Mus musculus: one gene and its partner. The protein of the gene in region 2 interacts with the protein of the main gene of each other region in a biochemical or structural test. Links are inferred from orthologs where the notes say so. Each region holds a gene or a part of one and is shown on either strand. Other genes may lie near its edges. The genes, in order: Fmr1 and Nufip2.

Region 1 (15,859 bases), on a different chromosome or scaffold from region 2:
ACTGAGTCTGAGAATTACAATGTGGCTGCCAAAGTGTTCACAAATACTTAAAACCATATATTCACTGGAAAAATCCTCATACTTGTACATTTGTCACAGAGGACTGAGACTGTCTACAACTGTAATGCTGAAGAAAAATATTTCATATAGTATGAATTTATCATCTTTGAACATGCTGAAAAATAAAGCACATATTCAAACTACTTAGATGGAAACTAGGTTTTACCTGCAGGGATCCATCAGCTGTTCTTCCTTTAGCCTCTCTTGGATTACGTGGACGATTATCTGTTCGGGAATGATCGTCGTTTCCTGTATATTTTAAAAATGTTTAACAGTTAGTGACTCTTAAAACATTTGCTCAAAATTCTCTCTTTTCAGATTCCCCATTCAGACCAACAATAGAAGCTAAAATGTAATGAAGAGCCTACCAATTCCAATTGTACAAGTAAATAATCTATTCTGGTAACAAGAAACAAAATATTCTGAAGGTTGATTCAACAGGTCAATCTGTCTGGATTAACAACCAGATGCTGGTAAGGAACTACGAAGAATATAAATTAGTTATCACTATTTAGTCATAGTTTCCAAAAAATCACAAGGAAGGCTGTGTAATATTCTGTCAAACAAATGAAAAAGTAATCATTTGCTATGATGATGATAAGCCCAAAACAGACTATATCACCAAGATTCTTTACTCAGCTTCAAACAGCTAACAGTTTACTTTTAATCTTTCTTTCTCTCTTTAAAAACACTTACAGCTGGGCAGTGGTGGTGCACGCCTTTAATCCCAGCACTTGGAGGCAGAGACAGGCGGATTGCTGAGTTCAAGGCCAGCCTGGTCTACAAAGTAACAGGACAGCCAGGGCTACACAGAGAAACCCTGTCTCAAAAAAAAACAAAAAAACAAAAAAACAAAACAACAACCCACAAAAACAAACAAACAAAAAACCACTTATATATCTTTGTAGAGGCACATATACCATAGTTGATGTATAGGCTAAGAGATAAGTAGCAGGAGTCACTTCACTCCTTTTACCATGTGGGTCCTGGAGATTGAACTAGGGTTAAGACTGGCAGTTAGTACCTTTATCCATTGAGCCATCTCACTGGCCTTAACCTTTTCTTCTCAGCTATACCTTTGAAGCCTCCTCCTCTTCCTCTTCCTCCTTGTCCTCTTCCTCCTCCTCCACGCCGCCGTCCGTCTCCTCTGCGCAGGAAGCTCTCCCTCTCTTCCTCTGTTGGAGCTAATGACCAATCACTGAGTTCGTCTCTGTGGTCAGATTCTGTTTCAGAAGCATTTGATGCTTCAGAATTAGTTCCTATCGAGAGTTAAAAGTTATATACCATTGTCTGACTTTAAAAAAAAGGTTAACAGAAGCTTCCAGAGATGAAGTTTCAGGGGTGATTCAATATTCTTCCCAATTTAGAAGCCTACCAAAGAATATACTTATCTGTGTTTTAAATTCAAAGTAAAAGGCTTGCCATATTTGAAGTAATTTTTGTTAGACATCTTTTAAAAAGGTGTTTTGTTAGCTGTCTAAGTTCAGATCTGAATGTGCCATATTTTTAAATAGCTGTGATCAATAGAGGAAAAATTGTCTATAACAATGTAATACTTTGATAAGCAAAACTTCTATAATGAGAGCTTTTAGTAGACACAGGGACAGAAGGATGTACAATTTGGCCAACTCTAAAAGCAGCCAATAAAGGCCACCATGATTGTTGTGTCTCAGGGGAGGGGCTACTGTGGGATTATCCCCAATGAAAGGGGATATGCATTCCTGATGCATGCCCCACAATCTCCCTCCCACTCCCAGTGGGAAGGGCTAAACAAAAGATCACTATAAAACAACTGTTTACATCTGAGGGGGTTAATGATATAGGGAATGGGAGTGGGGGGAAGAGCTCCACAGTGAGATGGAAATTCATTGGTCAAAAGAACAAACTGATAGGAGGAGGGTTAAGGGTTAGGTTCAAGATTGGCCTTATGAGTAGGTGTCTTTCCCCACTCTGGAATATCACCTCTACTACCTCTCTCTCTTCCTCTGTTGGAGCTAATGAGCAATTATAGCTTCACCATTATAGCGTCACTCCTGTGGATCTTGAAGGCTTTTCCATCTTAAAGAGTTCCCTTTTGAAATGCAAATATTTGTGAGATGGATTACACCTTATACCATCATTAGCAAGTTACATAGATACATAGTCGAGCAAGAAAGACAGTAGGAACTCGTAGCTGGGCACTGGTGTCACTGAAAGTTACTGGGAGAAAAGAAAGAAGCAGCAAGGATAGAAAAGCTGGGAAGGCAAAGAGTCACTTCCCCTACTTCTTGACTGTGCCTATGGCTGACTTTGGCCATGCCACTCAAAATCATCTTATGAGCCATAGGATGCAGACCCCTGATTTACACAGTCCATCCAGCAAGTATGACCAGCACATGCCTGACAAAAAATGAGCCACAGTACACAAATGAAAAAAGTTTTGGCTATACAGTAATAAAATCAGGAGAGGTCTTAGGTCATCAACACATAAGGGCTTAAGCAGATTTATCCCCAATTAGAATATGGACAGAACTCACAACTGCCCTGTGAACTATGTGTGTCATTAACGGGCTTTTATTCTACATGTCTCTTGAAACACAATTTGACCCACTGTGAGTTGGAAAACATGTAGTGAGAAATTGTTATAATGGAGTTCTAATGAATATTAGAGATTAGCAGCTATTAAGTCTAGGAACAGATAAAGTAACTGAGGAAAATGCTTAGTTTGTACCTGAAGTATATCCAGGACCGCGTCTGCCGTGCCCCCTATTTCTGTAAGGTCTACTACCTCGACCCATTCCTTGACCATCATCAGTCACATAGCCTTTTTCCTTATCTGTACGATTTGGTGGTGGTCTAGAACTAGCTCCAATTTGTCGCAACTGCTCATCAATTTGTAATCTCTCCAAACGCAACTGGTCTACTTCCTATTTAAAATATACAAGATAACAGTAAAAATAATTTGACATTTTACTTAGTATTACCTTTCTCCTTTTCATCAGATAAAAAAGTATACTGGAAATATTTCGACTTCAGTTCTAAATTTATAGTAAACACTGTTAACCCAGAATTATTAGGAAATTGAATGGTCTCCTTAAAAAGAAAGATTACTATTGATACACTTACTGATGTCAAGACTTAGAAATATAACAAAAACACTCAGTTTTAAAGTTATATTGAATAAATTTGAGTGATTTGGCACTGCTATTCAATTAGTCTATGGATAAGGCAGAGATACATTAGTTTGGGGACTTTTTGAAATAAGATTGACTAAAACAATACTAAAAAGTATAAAAATACAGATAAATGACAGACATTTAAGATTTAATCAACTAACCTTTAAAAATCACACATAAATGAGCTCAATGAAATTATTTTGTCAGTTAATATTCTAATTTACTAAGTATTGTACTTGGGGTATATTTTTTAAAGAGCATGTAGTATTTTTAGATATAATTACGGATCACTTATTTTCAATGAACTAAACATGCTAATATTCCTTTATATGAAGGGGAGGAAATCCCTAGGTCTCACATCAAAACACCTAGTTCTCACATCATGCCTTGAAAAACTTTTAAAATGCTAAAACTCTGCTTAAACAAGTATTACAAACAATATACATTGAGTTGAACAAAATATATCAACTCCAGAATCCACTGATAGACCCTTATACATAGCATGTACAAAAACATGGGATCTGTCGAATCCAGATGAAACTTTCACGTTAATCCTTGCCTTTCTAGCATATCCATGAGCATCTCACTTATTAGCTACAGGGCATAAGATCTGTAACTACAGCAAATATTCAGTGTGTCAATCAAGAAGAGGTCATTGAAACAAAGTTGTCAAATTTTGGTTCTGACATGGGGTGGGGGGTGAAAAACGGTCAGACTGAGAATCCACAGAGAACTTGCTCTCTAAACCAGAATCTGTGATAAACTGGGTAGGAAAAAGGAAAGACTAGTGGCTTCCTGCAAAGGTATATTTCTAGCTAATGGAATGTGTTATCTAGAAATTGCATAAGAGAATGGTATTCCAGTTATTGCACTTAGGTATTGTACTTAGTTTTGGTGAGATGCTAGACCCAACCAAAAGATGATTTGGTGATGATAAGAATGGCAACAGAACAGCTGCCAGTAACAGACAAAATATTCAATAGAGAAAAATAAAATATCTAAGAAAAAGCATTAATTGAAAGAACAAGGGACATGATATAATGCAGCTCTGTCTATCTAGGTCACAATAATTATTTCTAGTGAAGATTATAAAGGAAAACATACAACAGATTGCACATAAAACACTGTCCAACAAAAAATAAATAAGCAAATCAAAGTGGCATCCTACCCATGCAAACCTTGCTGGATGAAACCTTCCCACTTTTATTTATTAACTGACCACCATTAAGAATGAACAAAATGACCAGGTACTGCACCGTTTTTTTTCCTTTCACTCTTACTTACTAGAAGACTGATTCACATTTTATTCTTTAAGTCAGCAAACACATTCTTAAGTTAGTATCATAAATAAAATAGAACTTAGATTATTTTGTAGACTTTAAAAAAAGACCTATAGAATAATTCTGGCATATATTTTAACAAATAAGACATTATAACACTAAAAACAATTAAGATTTCATTTCATTAAATTTTATATTTGGGCCAAAGGGAAATTGAAAAAGTACACATAGCTACTTCACAGATGTATTGCCAATCCCATGCTATTTTTACTAATATAATAGCCTCTGGGTTCCTACTTCCCAGCTTGCAAGCTAAGGAAGCATAACAGTAAAATCAGTAAGATGAGCATATACAAGAAAGCACAAGTAGTTTATATTTTGATTAACACAATATAGAGAAAAGTATGAAGAGTAAATATTTAAAGAGGACTTCATGAAATGCTAGAATTTCCTTAATAAATAACATAGGAGGGACAACAAAGGCAAGTACACACAAAATTTGGATCAGAAAACATCCATAAAAGCTAGAAGGTTCAAATATATATATATATGCATATATATACACACATATATATGTATATATAACATCATTACCTAAATTGAATCTAAGGGTTTAGCAGAATAACTATATATAAATAAATAAATATATATACATACACACACACATATATATACATATATATACATGTACATATATATGTATATATGAATGTATTGAGAACTGGGATATTAGCCGTAAGATTTACAATGAAAAATTAAGTTTTTAGAAGAAATAAACTGAAACAATGTATTTTATCTATTATTTTTACAAGGTCATATACTGTTATGCACAGCTTAGAAGGATCCTAGTTTTGGAAGGATTTACTATACAGTTTTTAATAATTCAGCACAAGAAGATTAGAAGTTAAAAGTCATCCTGTCCTCACCTTTAAATAGTTCAGGTGATAATCCAAAAGAACAGTGGCATTAGCGATGCTGTCTTTTGTTCCCACAAAAACAAATGGTACCATACCCTGAAAAAGAAATTGTAACAGTGAACCTAAAGAACTAGTGATGGTTCATCTGAAAACAAAAACAAAAACACCTAATGACTAAATCCCTAGTACAAGGTCTGGCGAACACACAAACATCTATTTAAAATATAAATCAATATGTAAAACCAAGGGCAGATCAATATAGTGATTTCTTAGACATCACATTGTTTTAAAGACTACTGTTTAATGTTGACAAAATAACAAACATTTAACTAAGAATTATACAATCTTTACTGTGGTAAGCAAGATGAATAGTTATGCTTTAATTCACTCACTGTAAGTTCTACCTAAATCAAATTCAATTTAAAATCAGATACCAATGATACAAATTTAAAAACCTCAATTTTGCCAACCAAATCAACAAAATCCAAATCATGAACAAAAATGAGAATTTAAATTAAAATACACTGAGTAGTTTGTAGAAGAACAAAAACCAAGGCAAAATTATAAGCATAATATTTAATAAGTCCATAAAATTTCAAAAATATAGTATAATCTTACAAAGTTCAATCATAAGAAATACTTTGATCTTCTATGTATAGCATTTTAATATAGGGATTGTTTTAAAGATATAATCTAAATATTTATATTTCTCATCAGCATAAGAGAAGAAAAAAAACCCCAAACCATTCAATATAATAACCAGTAGGAAAGTCTAGCTTAAAGAGGGGATAAATAAGACACATTCTAAGCTGAGAATAGTTCAATCATTTTGCTACTGAAGAAATACATGATTATTGGTACTCACACACTAATACTGTAATACTAATAAGTAATAAGTATTACAGTTACAAGTGTTTGGCAAAAATGCAGGAGGCCAAGAATCTGTCCCTCGAGCAAAGTGTCACTCTTTCCTAAAGAACGTTTCTTAGAACATGTAGCTATTGTTGGGATGCTTTCCCTGTTTATATTCAGTATACAGTAGGTTCAAGAAAGGAAGGGAAGGACACAGGATTTTCTATATCCTTGTAAAGAATGCTACTGTTGATGAACAATAAAACTGAACCATCAGAAAGTATTGCTTGTAAGCTGATTATCATATAGTAGGCAAGGCACAGCTTCCTAGTAGCAGTGACTATCTGAACTATCAGGGGATGAAAAGAACTTGTAAAGATTTTCTTTTTTGTACTACAATATAAAAAGTGCCCTCCTTCAATATTATTCCTTTTCTCAATAGCATAATCACAAAGGCATTAATTGTACTTTTTCCAAGTGCCAAATATCAAGTCACGAAATAATACATGCTTTCCAAGTAATCACCAAAATAAGCTTTTAATTTTGTGCTGTAGATTTAATTAGGTAGAATTTGAAGAACATTATTTAAACCAATTTTCTCTTATAACATGGTACAAACTGTTAGAGTACCCAAGGACAACTCAAATGTCTAATCAGAAGATCTGAATAAATTGAAAATATAGAATACCAATATTAGGACAAAGTGATTCTCTTTTCTAAGATGAGAAAGGGATGTCCAACAGAAAGGAGTGTCCAATTCACTTGCAGTTTTAGTTCTTGGTATAAAATGGCATTTTTGCTTTTAGTCTTTTCTGAGTTATACCATCCTTATTATAAGCAATTCTCATATACCAGGCAAAGGACCCTGACATCAAGGAGCTTACAATGTGGTTGAAGAGACCAACAAGAAAACATCTAAAAACATGCTCTGGGTGAGCACACAGGAAGATGGAACAGGTAGGAAACCTGTGGTAAGTACACAAGGAAAGCTTCACATACAACAGGGTCAAAGTGATAAGGCAAATACAGGAAAAAGAACAGTCTGGGTAGAATAAACCCACACATAAAGCAGCAGCAAAAAGTATGTTCAATTTTAGAGAATTCCAAGAACTTCAGAAGGAATCAAGCTTCCTATAAGACACAGTGGGAAGACTGGTAGAAAATGACACTGGACATGTAAGGGAAGAACTTCTAAGTGGAATGAAGATGTTTGAGATTTAGCCTAGGGCTGTGGATCCAAATACCCACAAATACTCCTCCACCAGCCCCCAACCATGAGGCTCATTTGTAGTCTTTCTTAACAAGGGGAATAAACATTAAAATATCAACTTAAAATGTATTTTTCAAGGAATAGTTTCCTACCTGCCAAGCCTTGGGTTCAGGTTTCTGGGGTCCCCCTGCTACAATTGATGAAACCACTAACACCTAAAGCAGTATAAGGAATGCAAGTGATGTGATTAACTATAATGAACGATACACAGAAGCCTGAACGCAGGACTTTCACTGCAGGACTTCTAAATGCATTTCTAAATAGGTCAGTTCAAATAGTGAAAATCAGTTTCTAAAATATGGCTTTAAGAAGTAACTAACACATCTAATAGAAGGTACACTTTGAGTTACAACACCTGCAAAATTTAAGGAGTTATAGTATGAAAAAAAAAAAAGTCCACCCTCAACAGAAAAAAAGTGACCCCATTAGGTTTATAGCTTAAGATTTGTCACTGTGAATAAATTGAAAAAATATGTATTACTTTGTTTTGTAATCTCATATGGTACCAAACCTATGTGAAAATATAGAGTAAGAGTAGCCTACAAATCTAACGAGAAAAAACAGCCCAAATACCAAATGTGGAATCTGCGTCAAAGAAATTACTTTTAGTGTGGTTAGAGGTGACAAATTCTTACCCTCTGGACTTTTGTACTGTTAGGTTGAGAAAAATGGGTGTTTTCCTTTGTATCTAAATGTTTCTTTTCTTCAGAGGAGTTAGGTCCAACCCTTGAATTATTGGAAGGTAGGGAACTTGGTGGCATAATTTCCTTGATAAAAAAACATAAAACACAAAAAATTCCAATTTTATGAGAACTTGGTTCTATTACCATGTCAGTGATATTTTTTGTTAAGCATATCCACTTAATTATTTATAAAGAAATCTGATAATTCAACATATTAGGAACAATGTTTGAAGTTCATCTTTTCCCATTAACAATGATGGTTAAGACTATAGATTACTATAAAGTGTTTTGACATATAAAATTACAGGGCATAAATTTTTTTAAAAGGTTTGTTTGTTTATTTATTAATTATGTATAAGTACACTATTTATTTATTAATTATGTATAAGTACACTATAGCTGTCTTCAGACACTCCAGAAGAGGGCATCAGATTCTGTTACGGATGGTTGTGAGCCACCATGTGGTTGCTGGGATTTTGAATTCAGGACCTTTAGAAGAGCAGTCGGCACTCTTAACCACTGAACCATCTCACCAGCTCCCATAGAGCATAAAAATTATGCAATTAAAAACCAAATCAGGGATTAGAGAGAGATGGCTTTTTGTAGAGGTTAAGAGCATGTACTGTTCTTACAGTGGAACCAAGTTTGGTTCTTAGCAGCTCACAACTGAGCTCTTCTCCCAACCCCTCCAAACACTCACACACACAAACTTTATTGAATTAAACCTTAAAAAAAACACTAAATTGATTTAACATCAATTAAAATAATCTTTCACAAAAGACAGCTAATTAATGTGAAAATTATAAGCTTGTGCGTGGACAGCATTTTGAGAGTACAACTGCATCAAGGGTTATACTGTCCCTTTCCACTTTCCATACAAATACTTACAAGGTTACACCAATAAGCATATGTCCAGGTAGATAGGACTGAGAGTTATCAAAGTCATGTTGGGGGAAGTGATCATGTGCAGAAAAAGCACACACAGAATGAACTTACTTTACCACATTAACACTCAATCAAAAGCATTTATAAAGGCTGTCTATGCACGCTTTTTGTCATTCATTAATGGCTGAACCAGTGATATACACCTTATAATAGCAAACTCATGACTACCCATTATAAGATCACAAAATGAAGACAAATACAGGATAAATTTACTTATCTAAAGTCCAGCATTAGAAAACATAGTCACTGGGTGGTGGTGCACACTTTTAGTCCCAGAACTTGTAAAGCAGAGGCAGGCAGAACTCTGAGTTCAAGGTCAGCCTGGTCTAAGAGTGAGTTTCAGGATAGCCAAGGCTACACTGAGGAATTCTGTCTTCAAAAAACAAAAACCAAGCCAAACCAAAACAGATAGTCTAGTATCTATAGTATTAAGCATGTCCAATAGTCAGAACAATTATCAAAGTCCTGGATTTGATTCTGAGTACCACAAAAAGAAAAAAAATATTATATGCATGTAATACAGGAGCCTCTGTATTAATACATTAAAAAAATAAAACAAGACAAACAAAACTCTTTCTCTTAGACAAAACCAGAAAAATAAGCACTATTACATACCTCTTCTTGTGGGACACTTTTCTCATTTTCAGCCTCAATCCTCACCCTCACAACTCCTGACTTGTCCACGATCTCTTGAATCAGCTTTCCATTTTTTCCTATTACTTTGCCTAAAATAAATAATTCATGTTTGACTCGAGGACATCACTCAAATCGTACAAGCACACTCCACTATAAACTATCTTACACATTCAAATACATATACATACTGGATTATAAGATTCAAAACAGAAGCTTTTTAAAAAAATAGTTTAATTATAAATTATTCTCGTTGATTAGGTCATTTTTAAACTCATTTGGTCAGATACTACAGCTGATTAATACTTGTGAACTGATTGGGTAATTCTGAAAATTTAAAGGTAACTCAAAGAGAACCCCTTATCTCACATAAGACCGTATACTTTAAACTAACTGGTACTGTGGTATTTAGCACTCTGTAAAGCTCTACAAAAGGAATTAAGGAAAAGAAGGATAATAAATGTATTTGCTTACTTGACAATTTCAATTCTCATCTAGCTTTGATTCACATTTCCTCATATATACATAGGAACTATTTTTAGAATTATGTATGACACATTTGAAAATATGCTCTTAAGTTTCAGGAGCTTAGAAAGCTATCTAAATATCTAAAAGGAACAAAAATTCTTCAAGCCAATGTTAATAACAGAATATTAGTTCTATGCATTGGTCACAATGTAGAGTAGCATACATATTCATAGGTAAAGCACACTTTCAGATAACTCCAAAACTACCATGAAAAGGCTTATACGTATTCTTTAGTAACATCTGTTGAAATTCAGAAAAATCTAGTAGTAGTTCTAAATAGCAATTGTTTGCCCCACTGTGCAAAATTCAATTATATATAAAACTAGGACATGGCTGCTTTCATAGCCACTATCATACATGAGTGTAAAGCAAGAATTTACAAATTAAGCACTACTAATTCTAGAAACCTACACATGAGGCAAACCAGATTCTAGGGGGACTTAAGCACTTAGATAAGCCATGGGTGAAATGCTTCTATATGCTCATTTTGCCTCCTCAGCGCAGGCAAATTGATGAAAAGAGAGAAGTTGCTTCCTAGCTACTTTAAATAACAAACTAGCAAAAGGTCTTGCAGAAGGACTCATAGTTCTTATAATCAGAGCCACAGTTTTGACATTATTGCTGTGTGTGGCTTTCATACTCTTCCACCTTGAGCTCTTTGGTCAGTGGTAGAAAACAAAACTCATGCCACTAAACCAGGATTTCTAATCTAAAAATCTCATTATGTCTGTTCTATTCTTCTTCAAATGAAATGAAGAACGTACAAAAATCCCTACCTGGAGTATTCTCAGAGTTTGTTTTTTTTTTTTTTTCTGTAAAATCCTTACATAACCATGAAAGTTGATTTTAATAAAGATGCAAATTAGCATAAAGAAAAGTAGGACTTTAGCATGTTTCTATTAAGAAATAACTAAGTACTTCGTCTAAACAAACTCACTGTCAAAGTTTAGATAGAACACACAAACTTTTAGGCAAGATAAATTGGTGTGCATACTGAAGAAGGCTTGTGAAAAATAGGTAATCAATCAGTAGATGAGACTCAAGTAATAGTGATTAAGACGTCACCCTGAAACCTGCCCAGCAAACCGAACTAACAAAAACTGATTTCTGAAGAAGCCCAGTATTCCTAGTGTTGCAGCATTCCTCATCAAACCAGAATTCTCTTGTTTTACTAAGTATAAACGTAAAGAAAACTCAATTCTGCAATAGGTTTTTTTTTGGTGCAAACCAACTTTAAACATCCTCTACACCTAATGCAAGACTATAGGTATAATCTCTTTCTTCTTTGGTAATCTAATTGAATCTAGTTTACTTGTATATTGCAGTTACTTCCAAATTCCAACAGAATTTACTATAAATCTGCTGTAATGAAATGAAGAAGTTATGAATAAACAAAAGAGAACATGGAGTTTCCTTCTGTACCCAGAACTGTGCTAAGTACTACACATAACAACACCTCATTAAGCATCTAGACCTTGAATACCACGTTGATATCATGTTAAGTGAAGGAAAAGCATTCTCTCAAGAGCTAAGTCAGTCACCCAAAGTCACAATGGTATCAAATATGTGTAAATATTTTCACCTACTATAGCACTATCAAAATTTAATGGATACCATGGTTCTATCATAATCATTAGTTCATCCTGTGCTATGCATGTATCTTCTATACAACTGGTATGTGTGTTGGTAACACTACATTCACATTCTTGTGTTGCAGCATACATGTAAACTAATTTCATTAGCATTTGTTCTTTACCTTCAAGTTTTTTTTTAATTAATGGTAAAAAATACCATGACTCTTGGACACTATTTTGGAGTCAGGATCTTGCTATCCCTACCCCATACTATCCTTAAATTTGTGATCTTTGTGCCTGTCTCCTGAATGCTGGGCTATTGCTAGTAATTTTAAATGACACTGTAAGATGATTACTATTCTATTTTGACAAAATGTAGCCTATGAATGTTTTAAGCTATATACATAAACTACACAGGAAGTTTGTTCACTTTATACTTCTACAAGAGGATTAAGAAGCAATATGCCCCAAATTTATTTATAAATTCAAACCACATTTTTTTTTTTTTTTAGACAGGGTTTCTCTGTGTAGCCCTGGTTTTCTTAGAACTCATTCTGTAGACCAGGCTAGCCTTGAACTCAAAAATTCGCCTTCCTCTGCCTCCCAAGTGCTGGGATTAAAGGTGTGCGCCACCATGCCCAGCTCAAAACACATTTTAAAAAATAAACCCATACCTGGTTTTAGTTTGTTCTACTAAAGACAACTGAATAATTTGGGAATACTAGTGAAAAGTTCCTATGCTAACAGCCATCACAGTGATGATTAGGAAACAGTATTTATCAATTTATAAGGAGCTACTACTGACTCCATAAAATCCAAAGACAGTTGGTGTGAATTTATCTTTCAAACTATGTCTATGCTAGACATATCCAGATTTTGAACCCAGAGATAACTGACATGAATGCTATCATTTTCTCAAATATCACCAAACTATAAAAGCTTAAATTTTTAGTCATTTTAGAAAAAAATCTAATGCTATGATTAAAAAAATACCTTGAGGAGGCTAGGTAAAAATTATCCTTTCAGACATATAAGTCTGAACTATTTCTTGTATATCTTCTGAAAATATAATCTTTGAGTATTATTTTCTATACACTGTAAGAACAGGCTACATCTCAAAGATTGACTTAATCAGATTACACTTTCAGTGATGAAACGAGGTTTAACTAGTATAGAAGTTGTGTACTAGGATTTTATTTTTTGTGGTATATATAAAGTTATTTTTTACTTACCTACTAAGTTTCGTGGAACCTGTATGACATCTTCAGCAAATTCCAGAAAGCTTCTAGCCTTTTTCACTGCATCTTGATCCTAATAAAGAAGGTTGAGTGGGTGTAATATCAAAGCAAAAGATTTGGCATTTGAAATACTATTTGTTTGTTTCTATGAGGGGGAAGTTGGATTATATGGTGAAATATTTACCTCTCCATAAATATGAAATGTGCAGGTATCCTCATCTAAATCAATAGCAGTGACGCCAGGCACTTTTCTAGCTTGCTGAATATTAGCACCATGAGTACCAATAGCTAAACCCATCAGATCTTCTCGTACGATAAACTGTTCATGAAATCTTGAGGCAAGCTGCCTTGAACTCTGAAGAGAAATGCACAACTGATTAACATGTTTTATCAATTATTAAGACAATTTCATTTAGGTCAGCCATGTAAATTATCTTGACCCTATATATCAGGGTCCTATAAATTATCATAGTAGAAAAACTAATTTTAGAATCACACAAGTTCTTTTGAGGCTAATGAAGGTCTATGCCATTTAAAACATTTTTTTTGTTAACAGGAAAAAGTTTATTGACAGTTTTTCAAGGTTATGTTTGCAAACCTATTTGCAAGGCTGCCTTTGTTATTCAATGATATCCACAATGTAATAATTAAGAAGCAGACAAAATATTCCCAATTAAGAACAGCTCACTAGGTCTGACAGACTCAATTCAATTTAAGCAACAATTAAAAATGGTATCTTTAATAAAAAAATATTCACTGCACTTATTATGGATATATAAGTACTTTTTCTAGAAATGGTGCCATTTTCATAATATATAACCAGGTATGGTGGATCTAAACATCCTTCAGCTGAAATGTGACATTAAGACAACACCCTCTCTCCTCAAACCCAGGGAAAAAAATCCCTAAAACTCTGTGGTTTAACAGTAAAGTGAACACTCGTAGAATACAGAAATATCAATTTTATATTACTTTTATATTCAGAGTCTGTTAGACTTTGTGATCTGAATCCACAAAAGCTTGATGAACTCTTTAAAATATTCAGCAATGACAAAACTATGTTCCAATGATACCCCATATTATGTGGATAATCACTGTCTTTAAAAAGCATATCAAAACTGAATGTTTAGTTCTAGCATGCCATTAATGAAAACCAAACAGATTAGTGGCTCATGTTGAAAATGGGTATTTCTTAAAAGGGTTTATGAACCTCTTTAATATTAGTAGTGAAGAAAATAGGCATGCACATAGTTTATCATTATTCAACACACCAGATAATTTGAATGAATAAATATATCTAATGTAAGCAATTTTAAAAGAACAATAGTTGTTTTCAAAGGTAATGGTAGTAAAGTATATAAAATCTTCGAAGATTTTCCAAGAAGTCACGTTTTTGGATCGTGATTACCCTGGTTCATTTTTCCCATTGATAATTTATGGATACATGTAAACCAAAGGTATGGTAAAGAACATTCAAGAAGAATTAGATGCTTAAGAAGAGATATATGAGTACACGTTCATAATACTCACAATGAAATTAAGAAGGCTGCTGTGGCCTAAAAGTTATGAGAAAATCGCTAAACCACAAAAGTGTGAACATGGGGGACATCAATAAAGAATGAGAGAAAAAAAACTAATCAAACAGACCTCAACAGCCATTTGGCAAACAAAAGTAAATTTTTCCTTTTCTGTTAAGAGTTCATCATTCATACACAAAGTTGGTAATTGGCAATTTTCATAGCCTTGACTACCTTTTTTCTTAAACTACAATTTGAAACTCCCCTTTTCTTTTGCTATATCAACTGATGATTCTCCCTAACGAAATGAATAATGATGAGGGAGACTCTTTAAATTGACAGTAATCTACTTGAGTTGGTACATTAAAACAAACTCCATTTAGTTTCTATGGTAATGAATGGAAGTACTAGATAGTTATCAATGAAAATAAATGCATGGTGATGGCAATTATTGGAGAATTAATAAAAGTAGATAAAATGCACCTTAAGAGACGAAATAGTAAGTTAGGGAAATAGCCTCTGGCAGGAATCTGAAGACAGGAGTTTTAAAGAGTGACAACCAATTAGAATGAAGAAGTTCTATACCCTTTTAAACAGAGATAAACATACATAATGAAAGGAATAAGATTAGATATTTAAATATTCTCTAGTACTTTAATGATAACATGTTACATAGAAGAAGCATTGTCTCACTTTATAGCAGCTTTGACAAACTTTTGGTAAAAATGAAATGTCTAAAATTTCCTTAAAATATATGACTGTTGTGTAATTTCAGGCATGAAAATTTTAGTATGCTTATATTTTGTACAATTTAAATTTCCAAACTAGAGGAAATAGGAAATAATAAAACAAGCTGTCCATACTTGAATTTGAGAACCATACAGTAGTTATTTCTGGACAGCCTTACCAACAGTGCTAGGGAAAGGAACATACCTCCAGTTGTTTACTGGCTTCTTCATTTCTCAGTATAAGAGACAACTTGGTGCGCAGACTTCGAAAGTGCATGTCAATCAACATGTGGGCTCGCTTTGAGGTGACTTCATTGATGGACTGAGTGATTTAAAGTTAACAATATTGTTACCAAAGCAAATGCCCCAGAGGAAATAAACCAAACTAGACAATTAAAAAACACTCACCAAAATTACCAGCTGATAATTTTCTGGATCATAAGTTACAGAGAAGGCACCAACTGCCTTTTTAAAATCCT
Region 2 (16,485 bases):
TTCCCAAATGCTGCTAGGATTGCACTACCATTGCCCTGTGTCAGAAAATACATTTTATGGATACATTTTAAGGAAGTTCTTAGTTCCCTGCTTGGCATTTATTAAGTGGCTAGGGAACAAAGATTTAAAGGTACCACCACAGCAAATTCCTAACATAACAGTTATATTCAGTCATTAGCCTGAAACTTGAAGTGTATCTGGTCCCTTCTTATTTATGAATGATGAAGCAACTATCTTTCTTTAGACTTTCCAAATAACTGGAACAAACACATTCCACCAAGTCTAGCACTGGTTCCTTTACATGACTTTGCTACTATAGAAGACTCAAAAAAAACCAAAACCAAAAACCTGGTCTTTACAAGGCTGATTAAAGCCAGGCGTGGTAGCAGGCCTTTAATCCCAGCACTCGGGATGCAGAGGCAGGTGGATTTCTGAGTTCGAGCCTGGTCTACAAAGTGAGTTCCAGGACAGCCAGGGCTATACAGAGAAACCCTGTCTCTAACTCCCCCCCGCCCAAAAAAAGGCTAAAAATCCATGTGCCTGTCACTATTTGCTTAAATTACTTTAATAAACCACTTGGCACTTTTTTAAGGGAAAAAAGTTTGATACTTATCTTTTCTAACTCTCAAAAACATTGCCCAATTCATTATAAGCAACTAAAACCATGAATTGTTTTGCTAATAAAATAATATATACACTTTGAGAAGCAAGAGAGGGAGGCCAAATTTGGTGGCATACACAGGCAATCCCAGCAGCAACTAGTATGTAGAGGATCAGGATTTAAAGCCCATTTGGGTAATTTAAAACTTTGACTCTATCACTTAAAAAAAAGAAAGAAAAAAAAAAAAAAAAACCTGAGACCCAATACAAAAAAAGGCTATCCTTTAAGGGACATGAAACCTCTATCTAATTATGTGATCAACTGTGCCTTTATTGATGATTTTACGTTGGAAAACTACAGTCCTCTAAACTTTAATAAATTTTCAAAAATTTCAAATCAATTAACAATTAATTGATACTAATTCTTACCCAGTCATTCATAATATAGAATATCAAATATACATGTACACACACACACACACACACACACACACACACACACACAATCAGCCCATTGGAATCTTAGAAAAAAAACAAATGAGTTACCTTTAGTGTGATATACAATAGCAGCCCTCAGGTCAAAAGAACCCCAGCTATCATTCCTTTCTAGGCCTCTCTGGTATCTCTGTTCTTTGGCGGAGCCTAACAAAGTGTTCGTAGGAGAGGCCAGGGGATTTTGATTTTCTATTTCGTAGTCCTTTGAGAGAAACACTAAAGCACCTTGACTACTGGTGTCTGCTTTTTGCAGGTCACCTATATGACTGGGGTCCAAGGATAAGGCTCCACTCTCAGTAGTCCCAGGTTTTAGAATGTGACCCAGAACTTGAGGACTAGTCCGTTTTTCCAGCTCATAAGCCTTGGGAAACACAGGATGCTCAGTTCCTGAGGGAATTATTTCAGCACCCTGTGAAACCAAAGTGGCAGGATATTCTCCTTGAAATGTCACTTCCATCACTTTATGATCTGATGACTTTCCAATAACAGTCTCTGGGCCAGCACTGGGCTCATTTATAAATGATAAACCCCATTGATTCTGGAAGATATCCCCCAGGTTTTGCTGATCTGTCTGAGAGGGCAGATCTACTTGTGCACTTAACAGCACTGTTTGCATATTTGAAGGGTAGATAAAAAGGCTAGATTTAATTTGTTCAACGGCTGCTGAAGCCAGACTCATGTCCTGAAGAACAGAATCAGTCCCAGTAGAGATGGGTGTTAAAGTATTAGCAGCAGTCGTTAGCAGTGGCTGACCCCCAGATGGGTACACACTTCCATCAGTTCCTGCTAAAACAGGCCCATTAGAAAAACTGGCAGAAGTAACAGATTTCAGAGCTGACATCGGGACCTGGGATAACCGACTTGAAGACTGGGTCTGAGTTTCCCCAGTAGATGATGATGATGAAGATGAAGATGGTGACACGGAGGAGTTCTGTACAGTTTTGTTGAGGTTTTCCTTAACTTTGCTTGCATAACTTATTTTAGGAACTATTTTTGCACTGCTATTGTCCACTGGAAAAACTGGGGGTGGCTTAAACAAGGTCCATGAGTCCTCTTTGGAGGCAGCAGCTGAGGCATGCTTTCCTTTAGGCCGATCATCAAATTTTTTGCTACTCAAACCAGGTTTAATATCAGAGCTTTTACGAAGCACGTCACCCATAGCAGGTTTTCCACGACTTGTTCCTCCAGGTCCAGTTTCATATTTCCAAATAGGCTTTGAACCATCTACTCGCATTCCCTTTTGTTCACTATAGTCAGGCTTTAAAGTTTCAAGTCCCTGTTTTAATGCTGGGACACTAGTCTCTTGCATTATTTTGTCCTGCACTAAATTAAGGTTTTCACAACCCTTGGCACTATTGCGCCTAGCTTTCCTTTTTTTAGGAGTGGTATATCCACTCTCAGATCCACTACCATCATTATCTGCTCCTTTGCTCATATAACCATTAGTAATATAGCCTGAACTACTTGTTATAACACCATTTGGAATTGCTATGGTATCGGTCTTATCTACAGCCTGGGTCTCTCCAGATTTGTTTTCATAAGACTTCCCATTCTTTTTGTCCATACTGTTTTTCTGAATAAAATTCTTGGTTTTGATTCCTGCTTTTCCAAAGGTGCTGGTCTTTACAGTCTGCTTCAGGCTTGTTTCTACAACTTGCTGGTTGCCATTAAGGACCCTGGAAATAGGGTTGGTAGCTTCATCAGAACTGAGGCTCTTTAAAGATATTTCTCTTTCTCCAGCATTACCGTTTATTTCACCATAGCCTATAGAAGGAAAACAAAAACAAACAAAACACATACATTTAAATCACAGTAGTACTAAGACCAAACAACTTTACTGAACCCAATACTAAGCTGTATTGTAGGGTTTGTTGTATCTTATCTTTATGTAAAGAAACTTTATGTAAAGAAACTTTTACAGATTATGATACAGGGTTCAATGTCTAGGCAGAGGCAGACCTAGGACACAACTCATATCAGGTCCATCTTCTGGGCCAGTAGCCAGAATTAACTAGAAAGATCAGGACCTTTCAAGCAGCATGCCATAATCTCCTCTAAATTATCTAAACAGAATAAACCTTATGAATTATATCAATGAGTCTGCTAGAAAAACTGAAGCAAGATGATTATTGCATGATTGAAGCCTTCCTGAGCTACAGGGTGGAACCCTGTCTCACACACTATTTAGAATCAGTGCTACTTCAGATACAATAACCTGTAAAAGGAAAATAAAAATAAGGCTGTGGCCTTTGTCTCCCTTGTATGACCACTGAACTCAATCCCTAGTACTGAACCTCCCTGTACCCCCAAAGAGTATACTGAGGGCTAAAAGTGACTAGTTGCCAATGAATTTCAGACAAAGCCATAAGACCTGTGGACTTTTCCTCTTCTGGGATGACTAAAGATAGCTACAGTGTACTTACATATAATACAGAAACCTTAAAAACAAACAAACAAACAAAAAACCCAGCATACCATAAAACATGAAACAAAAATATGTAGTAACCCTTAAGACTCATTCTCAGCCAGGCCTCTTTATGCACGCCTTTAATCCCAGCACTTGGGAGTCAGAAGCAGGTGGATTTCTGAGTTCAAAGCCAGCCTGGGCTACAGAGTGAGTTCCAGGACAGCCAGGGCTACACAGAGAAACCCTGTCTTGGGGAAAAAAAAAAAAAAAAAAAAGACTCATTCTCTTACTTTTAGCTTCTACTTGGTTGTTAAAGCACCAGGAGAGAAAATGTTAACATCCAGGTCACAGAGTAACAGAACTAGGAATCTGTCTAGGACACATAATTTCCTACCTGCTTCCAACACTTTCATGCTCACAAAACTACAATGAAATGAATTTAGTATCCTAAAGCAGTCAAGTACTTGAACATAGACTTCTTTTTACAACTAACATTTGTTTTGTTTTGTTTTTAAGAAAATCATGTTTTTCTGTGTAGCCCTGACTGTGCTGGAATGCAAAATCACTGAGCTCAGAGATCCTCCTGCTTCTGCCTCCCAAGTGCTGGGATTAAAGGCGTGTGCCACCACTGATCAGCTTACAATTAATTATCTCTTATTAGAAGTGATTTACTGGGGGGCTGGAGAGATGGCTCAGCGGTTAAGAGCACTGACTGCTCTTCCAAAAGTCCTGAGTTCAAATCCCAGAAAACACATGGTGGCTCACAACCATCTGTAATGAGATCTGACTCCCTCTTTTGGAGTTGTCAGAAGACAACTACAGTGTTCTTACATAGAATAAATAAATAAATCTTTTTTAAAAAGTGATTTACTGGTTAAATCACAGCTTTCTACTCACTAATAAAATAGCAATTAGTTTTATCAATTGTTTTATGACCTCAAAAGACCTTTGGGAAACCCTCAATTCTAACAATAATCAAACAACAAATACTTTTCTTCTGTATGAACTTCCAGAAAAGAACACAGTTGCACAAAAACCAACTATAGACAATATTTTTTGTTTGTTTGACATAGGATTTCTGTGTACCCCTAGCCACCCTGGAACTCACTGAGTTTTGCCTGCCTCTGCCTCCCAATACTGGAATTAAAGATGTGTGCAGCCACTGCCCTGCATCAGAAACAAACATACTGCCATGTATCAAGTTCAATTCTCAACCCTTAGTAGTTAGGAAAAAATTAATTCCATATTCCCAGCATTACATTACCATTTTTCTAAAAACTGACAAAAATAGTATGTGGTTTTGTTTTCTATAACATTTTCTTTTAAAAAATGCAAAATGTTAAGCCAAGTCTAGATATGTATCCCTGAAATTTTGTCTCAAACAAAAACAAAAATTAGGGGCAGGGAGACCCAAATCAATAGATTTGCCTGGACCAAAGGCAACCAAGGAAAGAACTACTTTACCATCTACTATAAGTTAAGCAATACCTGTATCTTCTGGCTCATTAATCATAATTATATATATATATATGTGTATATATATATATATATATATATATATATATACATACATATATATATATTAAAAGGTGGGCAAGCCGGGTGTGGTGGCACATGCCTTTAATCCCAGCACTTAGGTGAGGCAGAAGCAGGTGGATTTCTGAGTTCGAGGCCAGCCTGGTCTACAGAGTGAGTTCCAGGACAGCCAGGGCTATACAGAAGCCCTGTCTCTGAAAATTAAGAAAACAAACAAACAAACAAACAAAAATTCACTTAACTACATATTTGTCTCCCTATGGCCTTGACATGCACTAAGTATGATAAGTACCTTTTAAAGCTTAGATATTTAAGAAAAATGTGAAGATGGTAGTTATTACAGAAAGCAATTAAAGAATCCCTGTGTCTTTATTATTTAGGGTGCCATGAGAACTCCACTTCAAATGGACTCAGCAAAACTTGAGTCCCAAATAAATCTAGCTTTTAGATTTGACACTGCAATTACTCAACATGTTTTGTCTCCTGTGCCCTCTTCTGGATCCAGAAAACCAGTTTCTCATAGCTTTGGAAGTAATGGTTCATAAAAACTTGTTAAGTATTTCCCTAGCATTTTCTAGATTTTTTAGCACAGTACCCAACGACCAAACCACATACGGGAAAGCCGCTGAGCCCAACTGTTAATAACCTCTAAATTTCCTAAACCCAGTTCCCTCCTCATTCTTCATCCCAGGTTAAGACACATTGTGAGGAGGGCCACCTTCAATGAATGGTTCAGGGTCTGCCTTTCTATGCAGTGAGGAGCCCTGTGGGGAATACATAAACCTCATAAAAGACAAATTCTGAATCTGTGAACAATACCACTGGGCAACCTTGATACTTTCTCACCTCATGAAAAGCAAAACTAATACAGTTACATAATTCCTAAGTTTCTAGGCTGCTGTAAATCCTTACAATTAAACACTTCTGCTCTATCATCAGTCCCTACTACCCTACAAAAGAAAATCTGATATCCACTCAGCTCTGCCTTCAAAGTTATATTGTCTACAGTAAGTTTTTCACCAGTAACTTACTTGTATTACTTGAAAGACTAAGTTTAACACTTCTTTCTTCATTCCCTTTTCAGTTAAAAACAAAACAAAACAAAACAAAACGTGTGAATATATAAACTTTGATGCTTATTTTAAGTAGCTCAAGGCTCCACATTTAATGTTAAATAATACTCAGTTAGGGGATGGAAGTCGGTTTTAAAATGCACCAAAACGCCTCTTAACCACCAAAAAGGTCTTGTCCAAGGTAAAGGGCTGGTGACAACCACATGGACAAGTCACTTCCAGTTCATAGTTAAAGAAACAGGAAAGCCAAAACTGCCCGTGTTGTCCCACCCATTAGAGCATCGGATTAATCCCTCCCACAAAGTCACTACCCAGCTCAGAAGTTTAGGTGTTCGGTGGAAAACGAATGGAACAAAGTTTGAGAGGTTGTTCCCCAACCCCCCCCCATTTTTTTTTTTTTTTTTTGGGTAGGAAATGCGCTGCTATAAAGAAAAAAGGCCTAAGTGAAAAAGCCTCCGAGGCGGAGTCGTGAGCGAACCTGGCAGGAGATGAGATTCCTGTGGCAGAGAAACTCGTGACCCGGGAGCTTGGTTCCCGCTGGGTACCCCACCCGGCCTCAGGCACCGCCTCTCCCCAAAACGAATCCCCCTCGCCCCTCGCAGGCCAGCGGAACGCTACGGCCACGGCCGCCGCCCGGGCCTCCTTCCCCCTTCAAGCTCCTCTTCAAGGCCCGCTCCCCGCCCGCGCCTCCCGCCGCACCCGGGAGCGGGAAACGCGGCCGTCGGGCGCGCGGGGCCACGGTGCAGGCCGCTCCCCTCGTGGCCGCTTCCCTCCCCCACCCCAACCGCCCCCGCCCCTCACCCCAGGGACCCGCCCGGGGCCGCGCGGCCGCCACCGGGTTACACAACCCCGGCGCGGCGCGGCGCGGAGGGGGAGGGGCGGCGGGCGGCGGCCGCCCGCAGTGCGGGGGGGACCCGGAAAAGGGCCGCAGAGGGTCCCGGGGCAGCCGGGCCGGCGTGCCGTGTGGCCTTCGGCACCCTTCCCCCTCCGCTCCTCCGCCGGCCGGAGTCGGTGACAGGAATCAGCTTCCAACATGGCGGACAGGAAGCGGCCCCGCGAGGAGGAGAGAACATTCCAGCCTCGCCGGCTCCGAGGCGAGCGGGCCAGGGGCGCCGGCCTGCGGAGAAGCCCTCGCGGACAGACAACGGGGTCCGGACGCGCAAGACGGGCGTTTAGGGGTGGAAATGACCCGAGGGACGATAGGGTCCCCCACACACCCAGACGGCAAACCCCAAGGCCACAGGTGGGCTCGGGGCGGCGGGTGAGCGAGGACGCTTCCTCAACTTAGCCCTCAGCCCCGCTCGTCGCCGCCTGCAAGCGGCTCTCGCGACACCACCCGCATCAGGATGGATTCACTAGGCCTGAATTACATACACCTCGGGGGAATTTTTTATTTTATTTTTTTAGGGCGGCTGAGTTTCACCCCCTTCTTAGGGGCCCCCACATTCAGGCAACTCCAGGGCCCGCACTAGAGGGGAAAAAGAAGATGAAGGCTGGACTTCCAAGGCCGAGGGCACAGCTCTGCCTCCGGCCGGCCGGGGCGGGGACCGAGGAAGGTCACGCCGGCCTGGCTGGGCCTCTCCCATGCTAAAGGGAAGGAGAGGGCGCTGCAATCCCCACCTCGCGGCCCGGCCCGCGCCCGGGAAGAATGGAAGGGGGCATCCCCGGCCCGGCGGGACGCACACCCGGACCGGGTCCGCGCTTTTCCCATCTAGCCCCACCCCCATCGCTTCCCCCCCCTCCAATCCAGTCCCCCTTCCCCCACCGCCCTCCCTCTCAGACCTGTTTTCTTCTTCGGCGTTTCCTGGTGCTGCTGGAGGGTGTGTTTCTGCTCATGTTTCAGCGGCTTGGGCTGGGCCTTGGGGCTGCCCTCGGCTCCATGCTGCAGGTATTGGTGAGGCTGCTGGTGATGGTGGTGGTGGTGGTGGTTGTGGCTGTGGTTGTAGAAATAATAATGGTGGTGGTGGTGCGACTGCTGCTGCTGCTGCTGCTGGGGATGATGGTGCGGATGGTGGTGGCTGTGATGGTGCTGAGGCTGTGGCTGGCCGGGCTTCTCCTCCATTGAAAGCGGCTGGGACTCCCTGGCTGAGGCTGCGGGCTGCTGCACCGTCAGGATCTGAGACTGCTTCTCCGCGCTCGCTCGGTATATCTGAGCGCGTCTCGCCAGCGCACTGGTTAAGCGAGAGGATCTGCGAGATTGGCAGCCGTGCTCCAGCAATGAGGAGCCACGCTGCGCGTCAAGCCCCGCCCCTAGCTCAAATCCTCTTCCCTTCCCCTTCGCCACCGCCGCCTGGCCAACGCCACTTACCCTATGCAACCTCACAGGGCCGGGCCTTCAACGTCAGCATTATGGCTCTCTCTTCTATCGCTTTCTCTCCTTCACCACGCAGTTAGCGAACAGCACTTTCTACACTCCTCACACCGAGCAAGCTGATGTCGAGTGTAGCAGATTCCACTGACGATTCTACTGGCGCTAGGAGCCATCTGTTGGTTTTGCACCTCCTAGAATGTGTTGGGTTGTGAGTGTGTGTGTGTGTGTGTGTGTGTGTGTGTGTTTAATTCTTTTCCGGGTAGCCAGAGAGGAAAGCTCAATTTCCTTAACCCTTAAACCACGAAGGGGGCAATTCAAAAAAGAGGAAATAAATACATTTTTAAGAATACAAGAGCTTCACAACTCGATAGATCGTTTTCGTATTCTGGATTCATTTTGCTTTGTATTCATATGCTAATCTCTTCCTTTCCACGGAGGGATTATAGGGTTCCACAATAGGGTATCTGTGTAATTTTCTAAAAGGGGACAAAGGGCTTAAATCATTGTTTCTTTGTAGTTGAAAGCAAGAGAGAGGGAGGAATGAAAAAAATCTACACTGAAGTTTTTTGGGTGTTTTTGTTGTTTTTTTAATCAAACACTGCAGGTGAGGTCAACTATGGAACCAAAATAGATTTTAGACTAAGACTTTCAAAAGTGAAATAAAGGAGAAAGGAACCCTTTAAAAGTTCTTAAGGTTTGGGTTTTTAAAACATTTTTGTATTAAATTTAAGGAAAACATTGAAATGTAAAGGTGTATTTGCAATTTATGCTGTTAATTTAACCTGTTATGATAGGAAGAAGGTTGTGATAAGCACAGACACGGGGTACCCTCGAAATATATATTTGGGGGACTTGGCTAGGAGTTTTGTTTGTTTTGGACTGGTTTGTTTTTGAAACAGACTATGTAAACCTGATTGGCTTGGAACTACCTAAGTAGAAGTGTCTGGCCAACTAAGAGATTCCCCCTGTTTCTGCCTCATGAATGCTGGGATTAAAGTCCTACACACACCAGCATACCCCAGCCAATGTGCTATTGCTATTACATGAATAATTGCTTTAAAATTCATTAAATTAGATATACATTTGTCTATGTATTATAAGGGATTTTTTTTTTTTTTGGTACAGCCCTGGCTGTCCTGGAACTCACTCCTGTAGACCAGGCTGGCCTCTGCCTTCCAAGTGCTGGGATTAAAGGCATGCCCCACCATCACTGCCCTCCCCCCAAGGGAAAATTTAAATGTAAAGTTTACCATCTTACTTTGTATTTGTTTTGTTGTTTTGTCTTTGTTTGTTTGTTTGTTTGTTTGTTTTTGATCTTCCTCTGTATCTCTGACTGGCCTGTTATTCACTATGTAGCCCAGGCTAGCTTCAAATTGTTTCAGTCCCCCTCACAAATACTGTCATTGCAGGCACTAGAACCTATATCTCTTGAAACCCCATACCTTTTCAATGATAAAGCCCTTAAGGCTGGAGGAATAGGTCAGCTGTTAAAAGCAGCGTTTTCTGCTCTTGCAAAGGACCAGAGTTCAATGCTGAGCACTCACACAGCAGCAGCATGATCATCCATAGCTCTAGTTCTGGGGGCCCAACTTCCCTTCTGAAGTCCAAGGGCACCAGACACACACGTGGTACACATAATTAGGTGTATTTTGTATGTGTGATTTTTTTTTTTATCCCCATGTGTATATGTTCACCATGTGTATGCCTGGTGCCTGCTAAAGTCAGAAGAGCTTTGTCAGGTCCCTTACATGTGGCATTAAGAATGGTTGTGATCCCAGTACTCGGGAGGCAGAGGCAGGCTGATTTCTGAGTTGGAGGCCAGCCTGGTCTACAGAGTGAGTTCCAGGACAGCCAGGGCTACACAGAGAAACCCTGCCTCAAAAAGCAAAGACAAACAAACAAACAAAAAGAATGGTTAGGATCACTGTGTGGGGCTGGGAACTAAACTTGAGTCTTCTGCAAGAGCAACAAGAAGTCTCAGCCACTGAGTCATCTCTTCAGCCCTGTTTTAATTATTCATTTCTGTTTGCTTAGCATTTATTGTTTTGGTTTTTTGTTTTGTTTTGTTTTGTTTTGTCAGAGTCTCTTATAGCATAGACTAACATCCAACTCACTTTCAGTCAAGGATGAGCTTGAACTTTCGATCCTTCTACCTCCCACATGTTGGTATTTCAAGTGTGTGCTACCATAATGTCTTTAAGATGTATTCATATTACGTTACATGAATAAAAAGGTCTTTCCTTTTTTTATGACTAAATATTTCATGGTGAGTAAGTATGCTTTGGGAAGGTATATATACAACATTTTTTGTTATGAATTTATTTGATAATAGGTATGTATTTTATAGCTTTTACAGTGTGACTGGAAAAGTAGAGATGGCAGTTGTCGATGAGTTTGTGGCCAGCCTAGTCTATGTAGCTGAGGTAAGGCTAGCCAGGGCTGCCTAATAAGACTCATTAAATTAAACAAGTGTTCTTTGACTCTGTGTGTGTGTGTGTGTGTGTGTGTGTGTGTGTGTGCAGTGCCCTTAGAGACCAGACAAGTAGGATACCCTAGAACTAGAGTTATTGATAGCTGTGATCTACTCTTATTGAGAACTAAACTCAGATCATCTACCAGAGCAGACAGTGCTCTTAAATACTGAGCCATCAGGGCTGGAGAAATGGCTCAGTGGCTGAGAGCACTGACTGCTCTTTCAGAGGTCCTGAGTTCAATTTCCAGCAACCACGTGGTAGCTAGTATCTGTTTTTTTCTTCCCTTTTCTCTCTTCCTTTCTCTTCTTTCTGCCTTTCTTTCTTTCTTTCTTTCTTTCTTTCTTTCTTTCTTTCTTTCTTTCTTTCTTCCTTCCTTCCTTCCTTCCTTCCTTCCTTCCTTCCTTCCTTCCTTCCTTTTTGTTGGGGAGTAGAGGAGTGGTTTTTGGCTTTTTGTTTGTTGAGACAGGGTTTCTCTGTGTAGCTCTAGATATCCTGGAACTCACTATGTAGACCAGCCTGGCCTTGAGCTCAGAAATCAGCCTGCCTCTGCCTTCAAAGGAATGCGCCACTACTGTAGGGTGATATTTTTCAGTATGTAATATTTGAAGATATAATATAAATATTTTTTCTTTTTATAAAAATAGTGGGGTTGGAGAGATGGCTCAGCAGTTAAGAGGACTGACTGCTCTTCCAGAGGTCCTGAGTTCAATTCCCAGCAACCACATGGTGGCTTACAATCATCTGTGATAGGATCCAATGCCCTCTTCTGGTGTGTGTCTCAAGACAGCTGTGGTGTACTCATATAAAATAAACAAACAAACAAATAATCTTTTTAAAAAATGTGTGTCTTATGGGTGTTTTGTGTGCATGTCTGGGTACCACATGTGTGTCTGGTGCCTCAGAGACCATAGGAAATGATCAGATACTTTAGAACTGGAGTTATAGATTTTTGTGAACTACTAGGTGGATGCAGGAATAGAATCCCTGGCACTTTACAAGAAACCATTCTCTCAACCACTGATCCATCTCTCCAGGCCCAGAATATTTTTTTTTTTTCTTAATGAGAGCCATCTTAAACCTGAATCCTTCCCTATTAAAATGTTACTAACATTTTGAGATTTGACTTAGCAGTATAACCTCAGGTCCTACATGGCCTTTTATGGTCTTCATCCCAGCACTATGAAGGCTGAGACAAGATGATGAGTACAACGTTGAGGACAGCCTGGGTTACATAATGAGTTACAGGCCAGCCAAGGCTACAGAGTGAGACCCTGTCCCAAAGGATGGGGAAAAAATATGAAAGCAAAAAAACAAAAACAGGCCAGCCTGGTCTACACACTGAGTTCCAGGACAGCCAGGGCTACACAGAGAAACCCTGTCTTAAAAAATTAAAGAAAAAAAAAAAATGGACTGGAAAGATGGCTCACTGGTTAGGAACACTGACTGCTCTTCCAGAGGTACTGAGTTCAATTCCCAGCAACCACATGGTGGCTCACAACCACCTGTAATGGGATCCAAAACTGTCTTCTGATGTGTCTGAAGACAGTGACAGTGTACTCATATACATAAAATAAGTAAATAAATCTAAAACGAAACAATAGAAAACCTGCACAACAACAAAATCAAAGTCACAATTTTTATCTATAGGGCATGACTGCATATAAAAAAGTAATGCGAAGGGAAGCTGAAAAATAAAAACAAAATCTGTTTAACTGTTACATTTGAAAATACTTATTGGGGCTGGAGAGATGGCTCAGAGATTAAGAGCACTGACTGCCTTTCCAAAGGTCCTGAGTTCAAATCCCAGCAACCACATGGTGGCTCACAACCATCCATAATGAGATCTGATGCCCTCTTCTGGTGTGTCTGAAGACAGCTACAGTGTACTTAGATGTAATAATAAATAAATCTTTTTTAAAAAATTAAATTAAAAAACCAAAAATACTTATTGAACAGCTTCTATTTGTTGCTTTTTTTTTTTTTTTTTTTTTTTTTTTTTTGGTGTGCCAGGGGGTGTTGTTATTGTGAAATAGGGTCTCATTATTGTAACCACAGATGGCCTGAAACTCACAGAACTTTACCTGCCTCTGCCTCCTGACTGCTGGGATTAAAGGTCACCACAGTCAGCATGTTTAGATTTTTTTATTGGAGACCAGTCCCAGTAGCCTGAAGCCCACTGTGTAGCCAAGGTTGTCCTTGAATGCATTATTCCTTGTCTCCACCCTCTAAGTGCAGGTATTCCAGGCAGGGCTCATCACACTTGGCTAATTAGTGAACATTTTCTCTTTACCAGCAATTATGTGCTTTTTTGGAATTTTGCTGTTTCTCTTTGTACAGTTTGGGAGATTAAGCAGGGTTGCAAGACTACAATTATCAAATGAAAATCACTACTCAAACACCTTATTTTACATGTGCCTTTATGCTTTTATGTTGGGTACCATTGCAATTTTGTTTGTTTGTTTGTTTTTTTTGAGACAGGGTTTCTCTGTATAGTCCTGGATGTCCTGGAACTCACTTTGTAGACCAGGCTGGCCTCTGCCTCCTGAGTGCTGGGATTAAAGGCCTGTGCTACTATGTCTGGCTAGTTCCTGCAACTCTGCATCCCTGATATAGACATAGATAAATTTTATATCAGAACTGAGATGGAATTCTTTTCTGTTCCACTTTTCCCTTGTTTGGGCCGATTACTAAGCCCCTCTAAAATTTTTCATCCGAAAACCTAATTCATGGGTTTTAATGAGGTAGGTTTAAATAAAGTTGCTAACAAATACTTTTTAAAAATAATTTACTTCTATTTTATGTAAATTGGTTTTTTTGACTACATGTATGTCTGTGTGAGGGTGTCAGATTCCCTGGGAACAGGAGTTAAGGACATGTGGGCACTGGGCCTCTAGAAGAGCAGCCAGTACTCTTAACGGCTGAGCCATCTTCCCAGCCCCCACTAACAAATACTTCTAATGTCAGTAAATGATACTGTTTTAAATATTGATGCTACAAAATGATGTATTTTATATGTTGTGGTCTGTATTCCACCACAGCCACTACCACTACCACCTCAACCCCTGCCTCAAGGAAGGGTCTTCTTCCTATTTTATCCAAACTGGTTTTGAATATCTGTGCTCAGTTTGGAACTAACTTTGTCTCCCAGGCTTTTGTGTGTTTAAAGCTGGTTGTCAGCATGTGGTACCATTGATTGGCCTTTGACTCTTTAGGAAGTGGAACCGAGTAAAAGGAAGTGTGGTTGTCTTAGTTAGAGTTACTATTGTTGTGATGATATACTGTGAACAAAAGCAGCTTAAGAAGGAAAGGGTTTACATATCCTGAATCACGTTCCACTGAGAGAAGCAGAGGCAGGAACCAGGAGGCTGGAGCTGTTGCAGAGGCCCTGGAAGGTGCTGCTTGCAAGCTTGCTCCTCATCTTGGCTTGCTCAAACTGCTCTGTTGTGTGATTGGTTGGTTAGTTGGTTGGTTGATGGATTTTTTTGAGACAGGGTTTCTCTGTGTATCCTTGGCTGTCTTGGAACTCACTCTGTAGACCAAACTGGCCTTGAACTCAGAGATCTGCTACCCTCTGCTGAAATTAAAGCTGTGTGCCACAACCTCACTGAAGACTGCTTCAGTTTTATTCATGCATTCATTCTGTTTGTTTGTTTGTTTGTTTTTGTTTTGAAACAGGCTTTTTCTGAGTCACCTTGGCTGTTCTGGAACTTGCTCTGTAGATCAAGCTGGCCTTGAACTTAGAGACCCATCTGCCCTTCCTCCTGACTTCAAGGAGGAAGGTGTGGGCCTCCACAACCAAGCCTTTTATTTTTGTTGTTTTTTTGTTTTGTTTTGTTGTTTTTTGTTTTTTGAGACAGGGTTTCTCTGTATAGCGTATAGCCCTGGCTGTCCTGGAACTCACTGTGTAGACCAGGCTGGCCTCGAACTCAGAAATCCGCCTGCCTCTGCCTCCCAAGTGCTGGGATTAAAGGCGTGTGCCACCATGCCCAGCTTATTTTTTTTTAAGATTTATTTATTTATTTATTTATTTATTTATTTATTATATGTAAGCACACTGTAGCTGTCTTCAGACACACCAGAAGAGGGCATCAGATCTCATTACAGATGGTTGTGAGCCACCATGTGGTTGCTGGAATTTGAACTTCAGACCTTCAGAAGAGCAGTCAGGTGCTCTTACCCACTGAGCCATCTCACCAGCCCCCATTTTTGTTTTTTTTTTAACTGCTTAAATTTATCTAGGGCCACCTCATCCATCCCAGGTGGCCCCATGCACAATGGGATTGGCCTTCCCCCATCAATCACTAATTTAAAAACTACCCTACAGGCTAGCTGTCTACAGCCAGATCTTATGGAGGAATTTTCTCAATTGAGACTTCCTCCTCAGAGATGGCTTTAGTTTATGTTACACTGACATAAAAACTAGCCTGGATTTAGGTCATTGGGAGGTGGCCTTTGAAAAGGGAAAGGAAGACCTCTGGGCTCTTCCTCTCCTTCACTTTGCTTCCTAGTTTGCATGGAGTGAGCAGCTTTGGTCCATGCAAGTGCTTCCAGTCTTCCCTTGTCATAGACTGAAAGACCAATGAATGACCTAAGAGAGCTTCCCTCCCTTTTACTGTTTATCTCAGGAAGTTTGTCTTAACAGTGGCAGAATTTGACAGAATTTCCAGATATTTGATTTAAGTTGATTCTAAATAAGGCAGTTAGCAAGCTCAACCAGGTTAGTGTTTTCCTGAGTTTCAGAAGGGCAGGCAAAAGCTGTAATTGAAATTCAAGAACATTTTGCTGAGCAGTGGTGGAGCACACCTTTGATCCCATCACTTGGGAGGAGGAGGAGGCAGTCAGACCTCTGAGTTTAAGGCCAGCCTGGTCTACAAAGTGAGTAGCCATGGCTATGCCAAGGAAACCTGTCTAAAAAAAATGTTAAAAAGGGGGGGGGGGCTGGAGAGATGGCTCATAACCATCTGTAATGGGATCTCATGCCCTCTTCTGATGTGTCTGAAGTCAGTGACGACAAGTATAGTATATTCATATACATAAAATAAATAAATAAATCTTAAAAAATTTTCAAAAAAAGAAAGTTAAGTTGCCATTTTTTAAATTTTTCTTTATTTTATTTATATGAGTACACTGTATCTGTCTTCAGATGTGCCAGAAGAGGGCATCAGATCCCATTACAGATGGTTGTGAGCCACTGTGTGGTTGCTGTCAATTGAACTCAGGACCTCTAAGCCATCTCTCCAACCCCCAATATTTTTTTTGTTTTGTTTTGTTTTGTTTTTCGAGACAGGTTTTCTCTGTATAGCCCTGGCTGTCCTGGAACTCACTTTATAGACCAGGCTGGCCTCCAACTCAGGCCTCGAACTCAGAAATCTGCCTGCCTCTGCCTCCCAAGTGCTGGGATTAAAGGCGTGCACCACCACGCCCAGCTTCCAATATTTTTTTTAAAGTATTTATTACTTATGTGTAGAGTTTATACCCAACATGCATGTAAGTTTTTGCCAAAGGCAGAAGAATGCTTCTGCCAGGTGTGAGGACACATACTTTTAAAGATTTACTTATTTATTTTACGTATATGAGTACACTGTAGCT

The links.
Region 1: the proteins of Nufip2 (region 2) and Fmr1 form a complex in vitro, tested with the Homo sapiens proteins (2 studies listed by BioGRID and IntAct, with this or other methods). The link is inferred for Mus musculus from reciprocal best matches to the Homo sapiens genes NUFIP2 and FMR1.

The regions. Positions count from the first base shown.
Region 1 is NC_000086.7:68,697,691-68,713,549, reverse strand, and holds part of Fmr1 (synaptic functional regulator FMR1), read right to left. Parts: coding exon 15,789-15,859; intron 15,703-15,788; coding exon 15,586-15,702; intron 13,491-15,585; coding exon 13,320-13,490; intron 13,209-13,319; coding exon 13,130-13,208; intron 9,888-13,129; coding exon 9,778-9,887; intron 8,302-9,777; coding exon 8,170-8,301; intron 7,690-8,169; coding exon 7,627-7,689; intron 5,509-7,626; coding exon 5,422-5,508; intron 2,967-5,421; coding exon 2,771-2,966; intron 2,055-2,770; exon of another isoform or gene 1,320-2,054; coding exon 1,137-1,319; intron 310-1,136; coding exon 227-309; intron 1-226.
Region 2 is NC_000077.6:77,677,916-77,694,400, reverse strand, and holds the start of Nufip2 (nuclear fragile X mental retardation-interacting protein 2), read right to left. Parts: upstream 8,263-16,485; 5' UTR 8,174-8,262; coding exon 7,894-8,173; intron 7,846-7,893; exon of another isoform or gene 6,590-7,845; intron 6,115-6,589; exon of another isoform or gene 6,070-6,114; intron 2,860-6,069; coding exon 1,147-2,859; intron 1-1,146. UniProt on the Homo sapiens protein: Binds RNA.